3 linked regions of the Bombyx mori genome follow. The protein of the gene in region 2 interacts with the protein of the main gene of each other region in a pairwise test. Links are inferred from orthologs where the notes say so. Each region holds a gene or a part of one and is shown on either strand. Other genes may lie near its edges.

What was found.
Region 1: the proteins of epidermal growth factor receptor substrate 15-like 1 (region 2) and tyrosine-protein kinase Src64B interact in a two-hybrid assay, tested with the Caenorhabditis elegans proteins (2 studies listed by BioGRID, with this or other methods). The link is inferred for Bombyx mori from reciprocal best matches to the Caenorhabditis elegans genes ehs-1 and src-1.
Region 3: the proteins of epidermal growth factor receptor substrate 15-like 1 (region 2) and rho GTPase-activating protein Graf interact in a two-hybrid assay, tested with the Caenorhabditis elegans proteins (2 studies listed by BioGRID). The link is inferred for Bombyx mori from reciprocal best matches to the Caenorhabditis elegans genes ehs-1 and T04C9.1.

Annotation. Positions count from the first base shown.
Region 1 is NC_085117.1:16,859,604-16,865,678, reverse strand, and holds part of tyrosine-protein kinase Src64B, read left to right. Parts: intron 1-167; coding exon 168-378; intron 379-861; coding exon 862-1,115; intron 1,116-3,313; coding exon 3,314-3,501; intron 3,502-4,253; coding exon 4,254-4,988; 3' UTR 4,989-6,075. UniProt on the Caenorhabditis elegans protein: Non-receptor tyrosine-protein kinase which plays a role in endoderm development by controlling spindle orientation in EMS blastomere, probably downstream of receptor mes-1.
Region 2 is NC_085125.1:126,623-133,346, reverse strand, and holds the start of epidermal growth factor receptor substrate 15-like 1, read left to right. Parts: upstream 1-2,620; 5' UTR 2,621-2,655; coding exon 2,656-2,682; intron 2,683-2,884; coding exon 2,885-2,932; intron 2,933-3,109; coding exon 3,110-3,154; intron 3,155-6,724. Other genes in the region: glutathione S-transferase 2, read left to right, coding at 701-886.
Region 3 is NC_085120.1:1,627,096-1,633,642, reverse strand, and holds the start of rho GTPase-activating protein Graf, read left to right. Parts: upstream 1-1,981; 5' UTR 1,982-2,255; coding exon 2,256-2,421; intron 2,422-6,547. Other genes in the region: zinc finger protein 330 homolog, read left to right, coding at 255-409.

The sequences.
Region 1 (6,075 bases), on a different chromosome or scaffold from region 2:
AATTATTCCCCTTTAAAAGATCTAAAAAAAAGTCCACGACAGCATAATAATATGTCTATATCAGCCACAAGCCAACGCTTCGGCCGATGAACAACATCTAATTAGCACCTATTACGTCACTTGTAAGTAAATCGTAATTAATCGATTGTTGTGGATATTGTTTTCAGGCATATCAAACGGCGGTCGTCGAGTCGTAAAAGCCCTATGCGAGTATACGGCTCGAGCGGACTCCGACATCTCGTTTCACAAGGGCGACCGCATGGAAGTCCTCAACAGCTCGGAGCCGGATTGGTGGATGGTGTTCCATCTGACCACGAGGAGGGAAGGCCTGGTTCCAGTCAATTACGTCGCCGAAGAGAGTTCAGTGGAATGTGAAGAGTGAGTGTCGAAACCGTTTTAACTTGATTTGGTGTAAAACTTTGTTTCACTCTTCTAGTCTTCAGCTTTTTATCTTCGTATTAAGACCATAAACAATATTCAATATGTTTGTGTTTAAATATAGAGTTCACTTAAAACCTTATTATATCGAGCAAAATTAAATATTTTTAATTTTTTTTTTATCAAGACGGACTCATTTTAAATTTTTGAAACTAAAATAACAAGTAACTGCCGCTAAGCTTTTTAATTTTAAGATTTAAGAAAAAAAACTTTTCTCATTATTTTTCGTTGGCAGGCCCTTGTATTTTGAACATAGTTTATGTTTCATTTTGGTGTATATAATTTATAAAAGGAATGCGCATTTCGATTTTTTCTTAATATAAAATGCTTTACTTCTACTAACTTCTATACTAAGCGGTGGCGGTTCGGACCACCAAGGCCTATCATTAACGGCGCCCCTTCTTAAAGGCAGTCATGTTGCAGCTGGTTCTTTCCTCACGTGTCGAGGAAGGAGGCCGACAAACTCCTCCTAGCCGAGAGCAACCCCCGCGGTACGTTCTTGGTCCGACCGGCGGAGCACAACCCTCACGGCTTCAGCTTAAGCGTCAAAGATTGGGAAGACGGAAGGGGCTACCACGTGAAACATTATAAAATAAAGCCGCTCGACAAAGGCGGTTTTTATATCGCCACAAACCAAACCTTCCCGAGCTTACCCGCTCTCGTCATGTCGTATACGAGTAAGTATGTTTTCTTTGTTACATTAAGAACTAGCTGATCTGACAGACTTCGTAGTGCCTCAATCGATAAATAAAAGATCAAATTTTTTGTATAAAATAAACTTAAACAAAAGGAATTCGTCCGACGGGGGACACGTCAAAGGAAAAACAAAATTGTTATTTTTATTTAATTCCGAGCATTTTCATATTTATCTACCTTTTAAACCTTCTATGGACTTCCACAATTAATTCAAGACGAAAATTAGTCAAATCGGTCCAGCCGTTCTCGATTTTTATCGAGACTAACGAACAGCAATTCATTTATATATATATAGATTAAAAATAATTATCAATTGAAGAGGCGCGGAGGGTTCGCGTTGTTTCCCGTGCGCTATGACATGTCCTTTTTTAAACGAGGCTTGCAGTATTCATCAGTGACCTGACTCTGCTTCTGTATGTTAACCACTACCATTGGGTGGGCCGTATAATCGTCAGACTATAAGAGCAATAAAAAAAACATTTTTATATGAATACGGTGGCGCCCATCATAATGGAATATTTAAACGTCTTCAACGTTCGGAAATGAATAAAAATAACAACTTTGTTTTTCCTTTGATGTGTCCTTCGTCGGACGGATTGTTTTTGTTTGTTTTAAGTTTATTTTATACAAAAATTTAGGTCTTTTATTTATCGATTGAGGCACTACGAAGTTTGCCGGGTCAGCTAGTCATATATACCTAGTCAGGTCATAAATTCTGTCACATGTTTAATGTAAAATAATTGAAACAAGTTTATTTATTATGTAACCATTCATATACCAAAATGAACTTAACAAAATATAGATTCTTATGACACTAAAGCTTATTCAAAATGACCTCCGTGATTTTGAATACAGGCCTTCAATCTGCGCGGCCAGTCGTCTATCGCAGCACGAACGAGGTCCATGTCAATATCGGCGGCTGCCTTAATCAAGGATGTCTTGAGTGACTCCAAATTGGGATGAGGCTTTGAGCACGCCTTTTCCTTCAAGTGTTGCCATATCTTGTAATCTAACGGATTCAAATCTGGACTGGAGGAGGGCCAGTCTTCGTGCCGGATGAAGTAGATTTCACGCGCCGCCAGCCAGTCATGTGTGCTCTTCGCTCTATGAGCTGGCGCCGAATCTTGTTGGAATACCCAGTGCCTGTTATTGAACATGGTATGAGAAACAGGTTCCACAAGGTTCGTCAGGACTGTATTTTGATACACAACTGCATTCGTTTTTACACCTTTCTCACAAAAATGTACCTCTGTTAAGCCCCAATAAGAAACTCCCAACCATACCATGAGCGAGGATGGAAAATGACCTCGTTGGACACGCGGAATACGGTTGCTCGCTTCTTCACTACTGTGTGCGTACACCTTATCATTTTGTTTGTTGTAGCTCTCTTCTACGGTAAAAATTTTTTCATCCGAAAAAAGAATTTCCCGATATTTTTTTCCCGCGTACCGCTTCAACAAAGCGCGGCATCTCTTCAGTCTCAGGTCCATTAGACGAGCATTCAAACGATGTCCTGTTTTTCTTCGATATGCCCGAAGCCCTAAGTATTCATTTAACACCCTTTTCACCGTGGTTCTGTTTAACCCCATCTGAAGGGCCAACAGTTTCTGCTTACGTTTGGGATTCTTTGAATTCGCGCCTTCACAGCTTTTATCACTGCTGGAGTCCTAACAGACCGAGGGCGACCACTTCTTGACCTGTCATCTACACTAGAGTCTTCATTGTATCGTTTGATGGTACGATAAACGAATATTTTGTTTATATTCAAATTTTTCAGTATGTTAAAAATTTGAATTGGCGCGTAACCGCAACGATGCAACGCAATAACTGCAACACGGTCTTCTTTAAGCGTCCACTCCATATTTAAAAATGAGTAAAATTCTAAAAGTATACATTTTTATTTTCATGAACAATTCGAAATTCGAATTCAATAAACTTTTTTGTGACCAGCATTCTAAAAGAAAAGTTTTTACTGTGTGACAATACTTATGACCTGACTAGTTATTTTTATTTGTTTTAACTGATTATGTTTAAATGTATTACATATGTACACACATTGACTTGTTTCTGAAATAAATCATTTTCATTCATTCATTACTGTGATTTTAATAGCCTCGATCGAATTCAATTCATTGACGTAGACCGCGTTATCTAAATAAAAGATGCTAATTGTTTCCAGAAAATGCATTAGGGCTGTGTCACGTCCTGGCCCGGCCTTGTCCGAAGCCCGAGCCGCAGATCTGGGACCTCGGGCCCGAACTGCGGGACAAGTGGGAGATACCCAGGATGGAAATACAACTCATTAGGAAGCTCGGTCAAGGAAACTTCGGCGAAGTCTATTACGGGAAATGGAGGAATAATATTGAGGTAACACGGGTTAATGTTTAATAGATTAATTATAGGAAAAGTTTCAATGCTACGATTAGAAGACTTGGGTCTGAATGTTGTTTAGAACTTGTGTCATATGCGCGAGCATTCTTGAAATCATATATTCGCCTTTTACCAACCGTTACCTTAGGCACCCAGTTTTTCAAAGAGAAGTGTTCGCAAGTGTACTTACTATACGAGAGCGATCCCTTGCTGTTCGCCATTATACTATGTGCCAACTCACACTAAAATGGTGGCAAGGCCTGATTAAATCGACATCTCTTTGATTTGTTCATTTCACTTAACTTGATTCGTGATTCACGAAATTTAGAATTTACTATTCTTGTGGAAAGAGCTCACCGCTGCTCATCTTCCTATTCGTACACTCTTGACAGAGTGGTCGTGGTCTTGCGTCAATCGGATCCTGCGATACCGATGCTCTCGCGATGCGACGCCATGTGGCACGGTGTTTCGCAGAGTGAGAGCAATCGTTTATGTTGGAGTGAGTCACAGATTTTATGTCCTCATGGATGGATTGGAGAGCAATGGAGTCCACATTACGAGTTATGTGCCCGAAGAACTTGAGGATTCGTATATGGACTGTTGACGATAGTCTCTCCTTGATGTTGAGCTCTTTCAGGATAGAAATGTTGGTACGGTAGAATTGCTCATAGAAATCGGCAAAGATATAAAGAAAAAAGTCTACCTAAGTTTCAAACTGCAATATATGTCAAGTTTTTTTTATGTTGCAGGTCGCCGTGAAGACTCTTCGCGAGGGCACAATGTCGACTCAGGCCTTCCTGCAAGAGGCGGCGATCATGAAGAAGTTCCGGCACAACAAGCTGGTCGCCCTGTACGCCGTCTGCTCGCAGCAGGAGCCGGTCTACATCGTCCAGGAGTACATGAGCCGCGGCTCCTTACTGGAGTTCTTGAGGAACGGCGAAGGGAAGTTCCTCCAGTTCGAGGACCTAGTTTACATAGCGGCCCAGGTCGCCTCCGGTATGGAGTATCTCGAATCGAAAATGCTGATTCACAGAGACCTGGCCGCTCGGAACGTGCTCATCGGGGAGAACAATACCGCCAAAATATGCGACTTCGGTCTCGCCAGGGTCATAGAAGACAACGAATACTGCCCCAAGCAAGGCTCTAGGTTCCCAGTCAAATGGACAGCCCCCGAAGCTATAATATACGGGAAGTTCTCCATCAAAAGCGACGTCTGGTCGTACGGCATTCTCTTAATGGAGCTTTTCACATACGGGAAGATTCCGTACCCGGGATTGCACGGCAAGGACGTCATCGACAAAATCGAGATCGGCTACCGGATGCCGAAGCCGATAGACGTGTACCTGCCGGACGCCATATACGGGCTGATGCTGCAGTGCTGGGACGCGGTGCCTGAGAAGCGGCCCACCTTCGAGTTCCTCAATCATTACTTCGAATCGTTTACGGTGACCAGCGAGATGCCGTACAAGGAGGTACACGATTGATGCTGTGATATAGTGACGTATAGGACGTTCGTTCTCTGACATTACGAGGGTAGGTGTGTATCGATTTAAATACGCGTTAGTACGATCAATATCGATACGCGAATCGATTAAGCGAATGCTTCTTACAATGATTTTAATAGCGGTGGTAGGACGTGACGTGACGAGCTATAGTATAACGGTTACTAAAATGCGATTGAGACTGGCCTCACTTCTCAAAGTGGTTGGCGGCGTTCACACTGCAATCTCGGTAAGCCGTCATGTACCCACATCGACGCCTAAAACGATAATTTAGTTCATTGATGTTCGTTGTTGTAATAAATAATGCTGCTGTTTTATAAATCGATTGAATAGTGTTGCGATTCGCACTCGACGCATCATCGACTCGAGAGACGTTTAGTAATTTTTATACTCTGATGCAATATTTATATAACAATACAGGTATGTGTGAGCTTGGCCGGTGGCTTTCACTCCCATTAATGGGTTCGTTGAGAAATTTGATAAGATATTTAGCCTAAGCCGAATCGACTCGCATCGTTTTGTACCAAAACACGTTCGTATAATAATATATTATAATTTCTTTCCCTGAAAAAAAAATATAAAACTGTAAATTGACGTGGAATATAATTACGTTATTTTACAAAAACGGGTCTAAACGAACATTAAACTTCTCAAGCACATCCCTATTAAAAACACCATTTTGAAATTTTTATAAATCTTAAAAACTATCGACATCACCATGAGATTTTTATTAACCCTTAAATTCACTTTTATTTATTTATTGTTAATTATTTTTATGTTGTAAAATATTTGTAGATTTAGATTAGAGAATTGATGTTTGAAAATTCAAAAAAAAAAAGTATATCAAAATCAAAATGAAAATGATTTACGTCACAGTGAATTTAAGGGTGTTGTGCTGGTTTGCAAATTCTAATTACCCCTATAAATATCAGACGAAAAAACATGCATACAATGACTACATTCTACATTATAAGTATTTATATAGTATGTCGGTCACTATGTTATTTATGTAGCTTTAGCACCAGTAAGATATTAATTTGCGTCACTATACAATTCGAATTTCAAGAAA
Region 2 (6,724 bases):
TCCAAACCTATTTTTTTGCACGTGGGCGACTCTTCCCTGGTGTGACAATCCTTTTCTAAGTACTAGCCGCTACTTTTCCTTCTTGTGTTATCCTCGAAACTGTTTTCTAAGACACACCTGCATTTTTTTTAATAGATATAAAACAAAACAGGCACGTCAGAATTTTCAATAGTGTTGTTAAACTTTGACGAAATGTTTAAATCTTAATAAACAATAATAAAATACTTTAATCTAACAATAAGTACGAAACCATAAAAAAGTCCCAAGTAAAATGGTAAAAATCACATAACTGGTATCCCCAACTAACTACCTGTCATGACGGCTACTCTCTTACGAACATTGTTTATTGGTATCAAAACCCCCTGATTCTTCAGTTCTGCTTCACAAAACTCCTTCACCTTCAATATTATTTCACGACCGGCACTTTTTACAACTTTAGACATCGTAAATAATAGTTTAAATACGACAATTGAATAAAAAACGCAATAGTAACGAACACAACAACACTTGACAGCACCTGATAACGACAAATATGGCCGATCTGTCATATTAGTTCCATTTATCCCCGTGGGACTTCTTCCAGTTTAGATTCATTCAACGTTCTTTTCAGCTTCCTAACTATTATATATTTTGATTTCAATGCAAGACAACGTCATCTTCACAGGAAACATCAATTAATTTGCTTGATTTTATTCTCTAGATGAGGATTTGCGACTTTTGCTGTGCTTCCACCATTAGTTCCATGGAGACGGTCGTTAATGGAATCAAGAAATTTGTTTACTTGAAGAGGTGGATGGATGAATTGGAAAAACTACCTTGTTTTGAAATCAACAGACGTGGCTTAGAGCGATTGAAATATTTTATGAGTCTTTACAAGCCAAACTAAATGAACCATTTTATTATTCAAATGAGTAGATGATTAAATTATTGGTTTGAAAAAGCTACAAAGTTTTTTGATCCGCAGTATCGATGCTTCCTAGTTCTATAGCACCGTATACTGTCGGCCCGAGGGAGAATACCTAAACGACTTAAAGGTTATAGTTTGGACAATTGAAGGGTCGTTTGTTACACGCAAGACTCTAGGCAACCAATGGCGTATTACCTTAGCGTCAAATGGGATGTGGCCTTTTTTTTTCGGGCATCGGCCGAACCTCAGGTGCAGACCGTCAAATCCCACATACCTTGCATGAGGTATGTGAGACTTGACAATCTGCAGATGTTTCGAGCAGACCACGGGTCCAAGGATGCTTAAGGGCCCTATCCACCAAACGACCCCCTTGCACTCTTTCAACCGACGTCCGATCTTCACCTGGGGTCAGAACCCAGTCAGAGTAGGGGGGCTCCCGCGGTCAGCACTACAACCAGACTCGTGGTGCCAACCCTAGGACGCCCGACCGATAGGTCGACGAGGCCATCGTTGACGACTCTACGTCGGCCGTCTCGGTGCGGTAGCCCGACGGGCCACCCCAGGCAGTGGTGCTGGTGTTCCGGAATATCCCGCTGGACTAGAACCAGCCAATAGGAACGCAATATACCACCAACCGGTTGCTCTCACACAATAGTTTCGTGGAACTGCTGCCATGCAGCGCGCTAGAGCGCAGGTACGCCGTGCGGTAAATGGGATGTGGTCATGGCGCTGGCCCCAGCTAGGTGAGGCCGTAGGCTAAGGCGTAATCGTAGGTAGCCTGGTTCGGGAGGTCAATGGTTTTATTGGTACTCCAACCATTATTGATGACGAGCGTTGAAGTCTTGGACCATTACCTCCACAAATGGTTACTTTGCTCAAGCAAGTGGTCAGTCCTCTCTTGCAAATGCTCAAACTTTTTGGCATGGATGATCTAGTGTGCTCACTGGTTGACAGGGTTGTGTTTGGACTTAATAAAATAAATTCGTGTTGGTAGAAATGGGAGTATTTGGAATTTAAAAAACACAACGTTGAAATGATTAAATTTTGATAGATTTTCTTTGGTTGTCAACACTGAAATTTGTTTAACCTTTGCACAGTAACATTCAAAATGACGACTTTGACGCCAACTGCTGCACCCGGAATTCGGTGAATCAACAGTCCGAAAAAACCGAGATCCAGATCCAAAAAACTGACTTTCTCTACATCTAACATGAAGTTTGTGTGCGAGAGAGAAGGTCCATTCATTAGGTACAGTTTTAAATGTGTTAGAAAGAATAAAACATAATAGTAGAATATCTGTTATGAGTCCAAACTCTCCGGACTATTCACACCCGGAATTCGGCGACCTCATTGTAATCAATGAAACGAGATGAAAATAAATTAAATAATATCAGTGAAGTAATGGGAGATTCGTTAAGCATTTTGGAAGAATCCGAAAAGCTGGATGAAGATTTTGTTTCAATTTTCCAACATGTTTCATTTTAAACGACATATAGAATGCAATTAATAGTTAAAATTAGACGATAATGCCTGAAGAAAAACAGAAAAATAAATCATTTCACGCAACTTGACATTTCATATTCCTGCCAGAAAGTAAATAATATTTATCAGTCATTATGGTCATAGACCTATGTCAGTACCTTCCATGACAGTGCCAAGTACAATTTCCTTTCTTTAATCTTTACTCCTTCACTTAGCTTAGTCTATGACTGGCTGCATATTGATTGGTCGACGAGGAGATGTAAAAAATGGCTGCCTTGCCGTCTCCTACCCAGGTAGAAATTAATAAGATTTACTGAGTTGTTTTTGATTAAATTGCTTAAAGGAAGTTAATTAATCAATTTAAAGAGTCCAGTTTTAGTAAAGTTTAGTGTGTGGTTACCAAAAATAACCGGTTTTAGTAATTTAGTGTGAAGATCGTGTTAGAAACAAATTTATTTGCTTGAATTTAATGTATTGACGTATTTATCCCAACAGTGTTCATTTAATGCCCATTTCGTAGTCAAAGACTGTGCCTCAGTTATGGTGAATAATCTCTTTAATAATTTATTAACCTCTTAATTAGTTGGTTGAATAGTAAATGTTAACAATTAAAACATATCTCGATTAAAAGTAACGCCACCTCAAAAGTGATATAAACAAGTCGAAAACAAATATTATGGTGATCTAAACGGTGTCAATATGTGGACTCAATCGTTACAGGTGGCAGGGACCCACAGCACGATATATGAAGCCTACTATCATCAGGTAAGTGGAGAGTTCATACATACTTACATGTCTTGTTGGTCATTTTGGTATATTAAATAAATTTGTCATCAACCCTGCTCTTGCCTAAGTGATCTACGAGTACATTTGTATACAAATGCATAGTTTAACTCATAGATAATTCGACTATAGCTGATAAATTTTAAAGACGGAATTTTGTATTTATTAACCAATCTAAAAAACCCATCAGATTACATATTGTATTCTCTAATCACTGATGAGATATTAGGAAACTTTAAGTATTTTATTTTCATAAACAGTTCTGAATAAATATTTTAACCATAAATTTAAAGCCGGTCGTCAACTAACTTCCTCCAGGTACTCAGTTGCCTCTGGTTGTTAAATCATTTTTCAAAGAGATGTCAATGACTAGAACAGTGATATTGCAAAGAAATTAATTAAAATATAAATAGATTAACATGTTTGCTGAGTTGGTTTTGCTCATTTTATAACTGTTGGTAGAGTTTATTTTGAAATTTAAATCTTCCTCAAAGAACCCTTCAGTACACTGAAATAGCACATGAGTGGCTATTCCAAGCTTATGATCACTAAGATAAATGTCATATTGTGTAAAATATAGGCATATGTGTATATTTATGTAGGCTCATTTTATGTCACAGTGTGTGTATGTAATTTGAATAGGCTATATCTCACTAAATTATAATTATGCCGTTGGACACTTTTGTCCTCCTTCAAATCTTGCTGAGCTTTACCTACATGAAGCTGTTGTGGCCTAAAGTATAAGACACCCAGTGAATTCATATTGAGTCATGTGACTGACCCAGTATTGAAGTCCTGCAGGCAGGCATCAATTTTTGTGAGGAAACAAGTACTTAAAAATGAGTTCACTTTACAAATGACTTTTGTGGTAAAAGAATAACATTGTCTTAGAAATCAAACTTGCAGAATTACTGGTGGTAAACATTGTAAGATAGATCAGTTCTGTTTAAATTAATGAATAGATTACTTACTCTACCAATTCAATAAAAATGCACAAAGTAAATACCATCTCAGACGTAAGATCAAATATGATAATGAAATTTGTATCTTTGATATATATGGTATATTTTAAGATTAGTTGTGATTGCCAAGAGGTGATAAAAAATGTGAAATCAGATAAATTTCAGTGTTGTGTTTTTGGTCATTGCAGCAACAAATATTTTGTACCCAAATGTGAAATAAGTTATATCTCAACCCTTCTTTACTTTAATGAATGAAATATGGTAATAATTCTCTCCAAATTGTTTCATCATTGGCCGTTTGTTGGTTTGCATTAGATCTATTTTGAGCAAACTTTAAGTCAAAATTTGTAACTAAGAATTCTGATAAATATATTCCTGTAGCCCTAACCAGCTACTTCCAGTTGACTCCATACAGAATATAGCCGTTCGGATTTTGTACTGTATGTTCCACGGAGTGCTCTGAGGAATTGTTTGAGATGATCCCATAATTTCATTTTTACCATCGCATCGCCCGCCACCGATATAGAGTTCATCCATACTAGAGCCAATGTGTTCATCCACACAATTTTTTGCCATGTACCACTAGGGTTTGGAATGAGCTTCCTTCCATGGTGTTTCCCAAGCACTATATGCCCTTCTTCAAATGAGGCTTGTGGATAGTATTAAAACGTAGGCAGCGGCTTGGCTCTGCCCCTGGATTGCTGACGTCTAGGAACGACAGTAACTACTCATCATCAGATGGGCCGTATCCTACATAAGTAATAAAAAAAAGTTATGATTTACAAAATTTTTATACTAGTGCTAGATATAAGCATAGGCCAGTACTGTTGGATTCTTGATTGTAAGTTAAATAACTTAGAGGCTGTGTGCACATTACAACAAGAACAGATCAGGAAATGTGTTGCTCTAAACTGGCTCTGATCTAACATGTTGGTTTCTTCAATTACAGATGCAATACTTCCTTATTGTTCCTTATGTGCTCTATTCAGTGTATTTTCTTGCTTTTTAAATCAGTACTTACTAATATTGGAAATGCAAACATGAATACATAGGCGGCACTGAAAATTTCGGGAATTAATGAAGTGACACAACATTACTATTTAAAAATGTATTTATTGCTTTTCGAAGTATTCTCCGCGAAATTTGACACATTTTTCCATACGATGGAACCAATCATTGAAGCAACCATTCCATTCGGAAGTTGGCGTCTCCAAAATGGCCGTTTTGTAGGCGTCCACAGCTTCTTCAGGTGATGAAAATCTCTGTCCACGCAATTTATTCTTTATTTTAGGGAAAGTATAGAAATCATTAGGGCTTAGGTCGGGGCTGTACGGCGGATGGTCTAATAATTCTATGTTTTCTTGCTCTAAAAACTCTTTTGTTCTGTGCGCGGTGTAAGAACTCGCATTGTCGTGATGGAGGATGATGCGGCGGTTGCAGTTCTCTTTACGGAGTTCAGAAACGACCTGTGGCAAACAAATGCTAGCATACCATTCTGCATTAACCGTTCTTTGTCCCTCAAGAGGAATAGTCGTAACATGGCCGGTTTTGGAGACAAACGTGGCCACCATTTTTTTTGCAACACTCCGTGAACGAACAATTTTTGTTGGCTTTAACTCATTTTCGAACACCCAAACTCGTGACTGGTTTTTTGTTTCGGGTTCGTACGCGTATATCCAGGATTCGTCACCTGATACAATGTTGTATACAGCATTTGAGGATCCTGCGTGGAATCTTTCGAGAGTTCTGACGCACCAAGTAATGCGACCCGCTTTTTGCTCTTCACAGAGCGAATGCGGTATCCATCGGGAAAACAACTTTTTTACACCTAATTGTTCATGCAAGATTATTTGTATTTGACTCATGCCAATGTCTAAAGTTGCCTGAATTTCGCGGTATGTCACATGTCGATCTTCCTCAATCAGCTTACGCACAGCATCAACGTTTTCTTGGGTCACTGCAGTTTTTGGACGACCTTGACTGGGATCATCACTGGGCTTGACACGTCCATGTTGAAACTCAGCAAACCTGCGATAAATTGTGGTTTTGGATGGGGCTTCATCACCAAATGCAGAAATCATCCGGTCAACACATTGTTTTTGTGTTAAACCATTTCGAAAGTCATAATAAATCATCGCTCTTGAATTTTCTCGAGTCAATTCCATTTTTTCAACGACTAAACAAGTTTGACAAAACGTCGTGACAAGACCGAGAATCTTTTTTTAAATAAATAAATGGTATTCGATTTTTAAAACCAAGGAGTTTTTAATTAAAAAGATTTTAATATGACAGGAACAGTGGAAATATTCCATTCCCGATACTTTTAGTGCAGCCCTCGTATGTTTGTCTGTTTCACATTTTAAAGCTAAACTTTACAATACGATTATAATTGAAGAAATGATGCCCCTATTTAACACCTGTGATCCTCTTATCGTTAAGATGAAAACCTAAATCAAACAATTTGCCAGATCTCGAGTTTTTTATAGTAAAATAGACTTTAGTTAACACTAATAAAGCACGGAGAGACTAAACCCTCTAACCCTCTAACTAATACTCTATGGTCCTCTGGCACACTCAATTTTAAGTATTT
Region 3 (6,547 bases), on a different chromosome or scaffold from region 2:
GACCGCAAAACCAGCAATAGAATAGCTGTAGAAATTTATCATATATGATTTTCTATTCCGAATTCTTAAAACTGGTGGTAGGACCTCCTGTGAGTCCGCACGAGTAGGTACCACCACCCCGCCTATTTCTGCCGTGAAGCAGTAATGCGTTTCAGTTTGAAGGGTGGGGCAGCCGTTGTAACCATACTTGAGACAGAACTTATATCTCATCTTATATCTATGGGCTCCAGTAACCACTTAACACACGTTATCAGGCGACTACGGTGCTGCTGAGGGAGGAGATTATTCGTACTGTTCCTCTGAGTCCGACGACGAGGACGATGACGACGATGAAGACGACGACGAAGACTCTGATGATGAGGAGGAGACTGCCGCAGATGAAAAGGGAAAAGGGAAGTCTACTTCCTGAATGGACTTTAATGTACCAAGTGCTTAGACATTGCTTATATAATAATAAATGTTTATCGTATAAATATTGTTGGTTTTTTGTTACATGTTGAGAAACACTTAAGGCGAATTTACATTACGAAATTAGTGGCATGAAATTAATTTCGTGACATTAGTTTTACCAACAGTTTCACGTGTAATTTAATACTTTCGTAATGCATGCGTTAATTTCATTCATGCAAATTAGTTTCGTGCCCTGCGCGATTGTTTGGTGAAATTAGTGTCATGCAACTAATTTCATAGTGTAGACGCGACGTGAAACTAATGTCGCGAAAGGGCCTCCGCAGTGCGGACGTGTGTATTGTTAGTTCGGACGCGCTTCAAGCGTTGAAAATGACAAACTAACGATGGAGTACAACTTTTTAACGAAATTACTTTCGCATATATCGAAACTACTTTCGTGAAACTGAGCTCAACATGCATGACACTAATTTCGTAATGTAAATCCCGCATAAGAAAAGTTTGTGTCAGTTATGAAGTTCTTGTGTGATTGCTTTTAACAATTTTTATTATTCTATAAGTCACAAATGCAAAGACATTTCGAGGTTTTTTTTTTATTGCTTATATGGGTGGACGAGCTCACAGTTCACCTAGTGTTAAGTGGTTACCGGAGCCCATAGACATCTACGACGTAAATGCGCTACCCACCTTGAGATATTAGCTCTGATGTCTCAAGTATAGTTACAACGGCTGCCCCACCCTTCGAACTGAAACGCATTACTGCTTCACGGCACAAATAGGCGGGGCGGTGGTACTTACCAACGCGGACTCACAAGAGATCCTACCACCAATCAAAAATGAGAATGAGATATGAGAATCCTAGTACTTAATACCTACACAACCGGTACAATGTTTATAAATATTGTTTTTAGTTTATTTAAGTTATATTGCTATAGAGTTATTCATAGTTTTTTTTTTGTTTAATGGTGGAAAAAGTACTGTGAGGGAGCGCGTCTTGCCTTAATTAATAACCGAACTTTACTCGTCCCTTCCGTCCGTCAAGTCCATCAATTTAGGTTTTTATATCATTAATTCTCTCAAAGCGAACATGCTTTGATACCTTCTACTTAATAAAAATGTAATATGTGTTTGATTGAACTAAGACCAATATACCAGTCTATCTAATATATATTATTATCTATGACTAAGACATAATAAATGATCTGCGTGAAACGCAACTAGCCACATGACTATGGTGTTACCAATTCTCAATGTTATGTTTTGGTAGTTATTATTTTAAATTAAACTAAAATTAAAAACTAAGCAAATAAAACTAAACTAAAATTATTTTTTGGTAAAATCAATAGTAATGGTTAGTCTGAATCGCTACTGTTAATATTTTTAACATAATTACCAGTAAATAAACTTAAATAAAACGTTCAATTAGTTTTTCCTATTTTCTACCTCGACTTTTCGAATTGCTTATAAAGTTTTGAGTTTTTTCACACTGAAATTATCTTATAATAGCCTAAGACAGTGGTTTTTAGGAGAATCAATTGAATCAATTTAACGACTTAATGTTTTATGGTAGTTTATCAAATCAAGACGCTTATGACCCAAAAAGCTACCTTGTGTTGACAGTTTGACAGCTACGCAGTAATCGTGCAGTATTGTCGGAATTTTACTGCCGTATTTTTTTCAAATTTTCTGTTTATATCATCGTAGATAAGGGTACTAAAGTCAGCGTAATAACGTATCAGTGTTGTTAGCTGTGTGAAGTGGTAAAACGCAATGTCCCGCGCGATAGGCGGTCGGTGAAAGTGCAAGGTGTTGTGACCGCGAGTGATCATAAAACGAGTGGATAGTGGATGACGATGGGCGTGGGTCTGCAGCCTCTAGAGTTCACCGAGTGCCTCGCGGACAGCCCTCAGTTCCGCGAGAATCTCCAACGTCACGAAAAGGAACTAGAACGAACCAGCCAGCAGATCAAGCGGCTCATCAAAGAAGTCAAGGATGTCGTGCAGGCAGCTAAACGTGAGTGCGAACCCTTCACCTGCGACCGCGCACCGCTCGAAAGTGTTAAGGTCAAATTATTCACGCGACACAAAGAATGCTCTACGTGTTGCATAGTTCGGCACTGTACATCCCCGCCCGTTATAGTTTATCATACAACTAATACAGAAGTGTGACGATATTACGTCTGTACATTAAAATCATTATATTTAACTTTTTCTGTTATCCTATGTCAAGCCAAAGATATATATTATTATAATCACAGAACCATGCTATCAATATATCAAGTTAATTCATTTATTCTTGATTTAATACTAGTGAAACTGCAGGTTAAAATATATCTATAACTCTTATAATATATTTCAACTTTGATAATGATATTTGAGATGAGTGAGTGTTGAGCTGACAGCTGATAGAATAGAATGGAAGAGAAAAATTAGCTCTGCCAGTCCCACCTAGTGGGATAAGGTGAAGAATAAGAATGATATTTGGGTTATAATTGTGATGAATTAAATCGACATAATTGAATTTGTAGTCAATAATTGCACATAAGTTAATCAATGTTAGAGCAAGTGTCAGTAAACTGACCATGTTTGGGCAGTTTATTGATACTGTTAATAACCATAACAACCAACATAGTCCATAAGTAATGGTGCCAAGCTAGGATCTGTCTTTATGTTATCACTTCAAGAACAACTAAAAAAAAGAGATTTACGCCAATTGAGTATCTGTGATTTTTTATTTGGACAGTGAAAGGCTATTTGTTTTAAGAAACATTTTGCTTAATACGCGACATTTACCATTGTAATTAAAGGTCCGTCTAATTTGGTATTAGTATCAACAATTGGATGTTATTAATTGAACTTCAATTAAGTTTACCCCATTCAAATGACTGAAGAAGTTTTATGTTATGATTTTTTTTCCAAATTTTAAACTTTAAATGGCTTGCCTGTAAAGTTGCAAAAATTTTGCTTAAACCAAATACCCTTTCCCCTCTCGATATCATATATGTGATGAATTTTTATTAGATGAGTGAACAAGCTCATGACTCACCTGGTTGGTTCAGTGGCTACTAGAACCTAAAGACATCATCAACCTAAATGTGCCACCCAACTTGAGACATGATTTCTAAGTCTGGAATTTTTCTTTACAGTACAGGTTTTTTTTATGGCAGTGAGGTTTGCGGAGGTTAGGTCAACAACCGCCCGCCAACAATCAATCATCCGCTAAAAAAGCAAATGGTTAAGGAAGTAGTTAAAGTTTACTTTACTGGGGTATAAAACTATTAGAACTTTACATAATAATGATAATCAAACAACAAAAATGAATAAGCAGTGTAATTGTAATATAAATAATATATTTAAAGTTACATTTAATTAATGATGGTTAGGATTTATAATGAATTCAAGTAATTATAAAATCAATTATCCTTTAATAAACATTACAAATAAAATAATAAACATTACAATACATAATTACAAATAATAATTATATTACAAACATTTATCCTTAATTGAAGGTCATCTTCCAAAATAAACATTTCATTATTAAAGAAACATTAATCCTACCTCTTTTAATGATCATGTTCCACTTGGTATTGAAGCCCATTGATATCTTAAAATGGATGCTGCTACTCACCCCGGAGGTCAAAGTATCTATTATATTGTACATATATGTATATGTTGACCCACCCTTGAAATCAGAATGGTTGTTTTTCAACCAAATTAATATGATGTTACTTCGTTACAGGGTTTTACAAAGATTTTTAATATCAAAAGGTGAAAGACTATTTATTTGGTTTGAGCGACAATATGCAAATTTACAGGTTAAAACTGAGAGCCATTTAAAGTATGAAATTGGGATAAAATATAAAAAAAAAAATTCTGCCATTTGCATGGTGTAAACTTAATTAAGTTTAAATTAAAAACATGAAATTGTTGATGCTAATACCAAGTAAAACGCACCTTTAATTACAAAGTTACATTTCACTTCTTCAGCAAAATGTTGGTTAAACAAAATAATCTTTCAGGATCTTTACTGGTGGTAGGACATCTTGTGAGTCCGCGCGAGTAGGTACCACCACCCTGCTTATTTCTGCCGTGAAGCAGTAATGCGTTTCGGTTTAAAGTGTGGGGCAGCCGTTGTAACTATACTTGAAACCTTAGAACTTATATCTCAAGTTGGGTGGCGCATTTACGTTGTAGATGTCTATGGGCTCCAGTAACCACTTAACACAAGGTGGGCCGTGAGCTCGTCCAACCATCTAACCAATAAAAATTATATATATAGGTGATCAGGTAGGACATGTTGTAGGTGGACTTGGTTTCGGTCGGCGGTGTATCGCGTTCCGACCCGGCAGGCTGGTTCTGGCCCAGCGGGGTATCCCGGAACACCAGCGGCATCGCCCGGGCGGCCTGGTGGGGCCGCCGTACCGCGGAGACTGACGTCGTTGGTCGTCGACTATCGCCTCGACGACCCGTCGGTCGGGCGTCCTCGGGGTGGCAACGCGTGTCTGCTTGTAGTGTTGACCGCGTGAACCCCCCTACTCTGACCGGGTTTTGACCCCAGACGGAGATCGGACGCCGGGTGTAAGAGTGCAGGGGAGTCGTTTAGTGGGTGGGCCCTAAATTCCTTGGGCCCGCGGTCTGCTCTCAACACCTGCAGATCGTTGAGTCTCACATACCCCGCGCGCCCCCTAGGCGCGGGGACCTCGTAGGAGGTTCGGCCCTCGGCCCGAAAAAAAAAAAAAGGTGGACTTGGTTTATTAGTAACTGGAAGCCATAGACATTATAATGTGAATGCTATCACCCAACATGAGGTCTAAGTTTCAATTGTACAGTAGGTATCACCGACTTTGCAACATTACTAATTATGGAAATTTATTAAGTTTGATTCATTTTAGCATAATTCTTCTGCATGATGGGTGGTCTGGTTGTGCATCTGTTATTGATAATGTCCATGAATGATGATAATTACACAATATCGGGTGGGCCATACACTTGTGTGCTTACTAAGGTGATAAATAAAAAACATATTTCAACAATGAAAGATACACAAATACATTATTTCATATGGCAATAGGTCAATTAAGGCCATCAATTTCTATTTAAAATCACTAAAATTGTCATACAGAATTAGGTATAGTTAATATAAAGTGCCACTAAAAAGGCACACATCGGTTTTCCTACTGTGTAGTTAAATTGCGAATCGCTTGAAGGTAAACGCCTCTATATAAGTAGATGAAATTTGAAAAGTAGGCGTATTCTATGATCATGATCAATCGAAATTTGCAAATAAAAATTAATGGAATTTCATGTATTTCAATATAGTTTAAAAAAAAAATGTAGTATGGATGAACATTATACTTTTGTGTGAATTATTATTAATGAGGTCCCAAAAATGCTGTGGTATGGTCTCATGTTTTATTTGAGCGATATATAGGTATCCATAGGGAGCGGAAGTTATTTTACAAAAAGCTAAATCGTGCTTATAAGTATATCGTACCAATCTTCTCAATAAAAGTTTTTTTTGTTGCTGTTACCTATAGATTTAACAGTTTCATTGATGACTTTTTTTATTGTTGTGTTATTAATAATATTATTACGAAAAATACTTAATAAGTTTAAGTGGAAGTAATATCCCCTAAAGATGTGGTAAAATTCAAATTGAATTCACAAAGTTAAAAGTTAAAGTCGACCACAAAAGATTGGAATGCAGTTTATATTACCTTGCTGAACCACAAACACAGTGAATTAATGGACTACAAACAAATTACTCCAAGAATATTTAAATGTATTTTAATAAATAAATAAAAATTATTAGGTTGACAAAATTATGGGAGGAAAGTCTCAATATTGTCTCAGGTCTTCGGGGGATATTTGTATCCTTTGTATGAGTATTCTAAAATAATTAATTTTCAGCATTTATACAATAAAATATCAGACATAATTAATAATTGTTTTTAATGTCATATTTCCGATGTTTCGAATACTTTGTGGCGACTCATTAACTCTCAGACACAGCCCACTGAGTTTCTCGCCGGATCTTCTCAGTGGGTCGCGTTTCCGATCCGGTGGTAGATTCTGCGAAGCACGGCTCTTGCTAGGGTTCGTGTTAGCAACGTCATCAGGTTTGAGCCCCGTGAGCT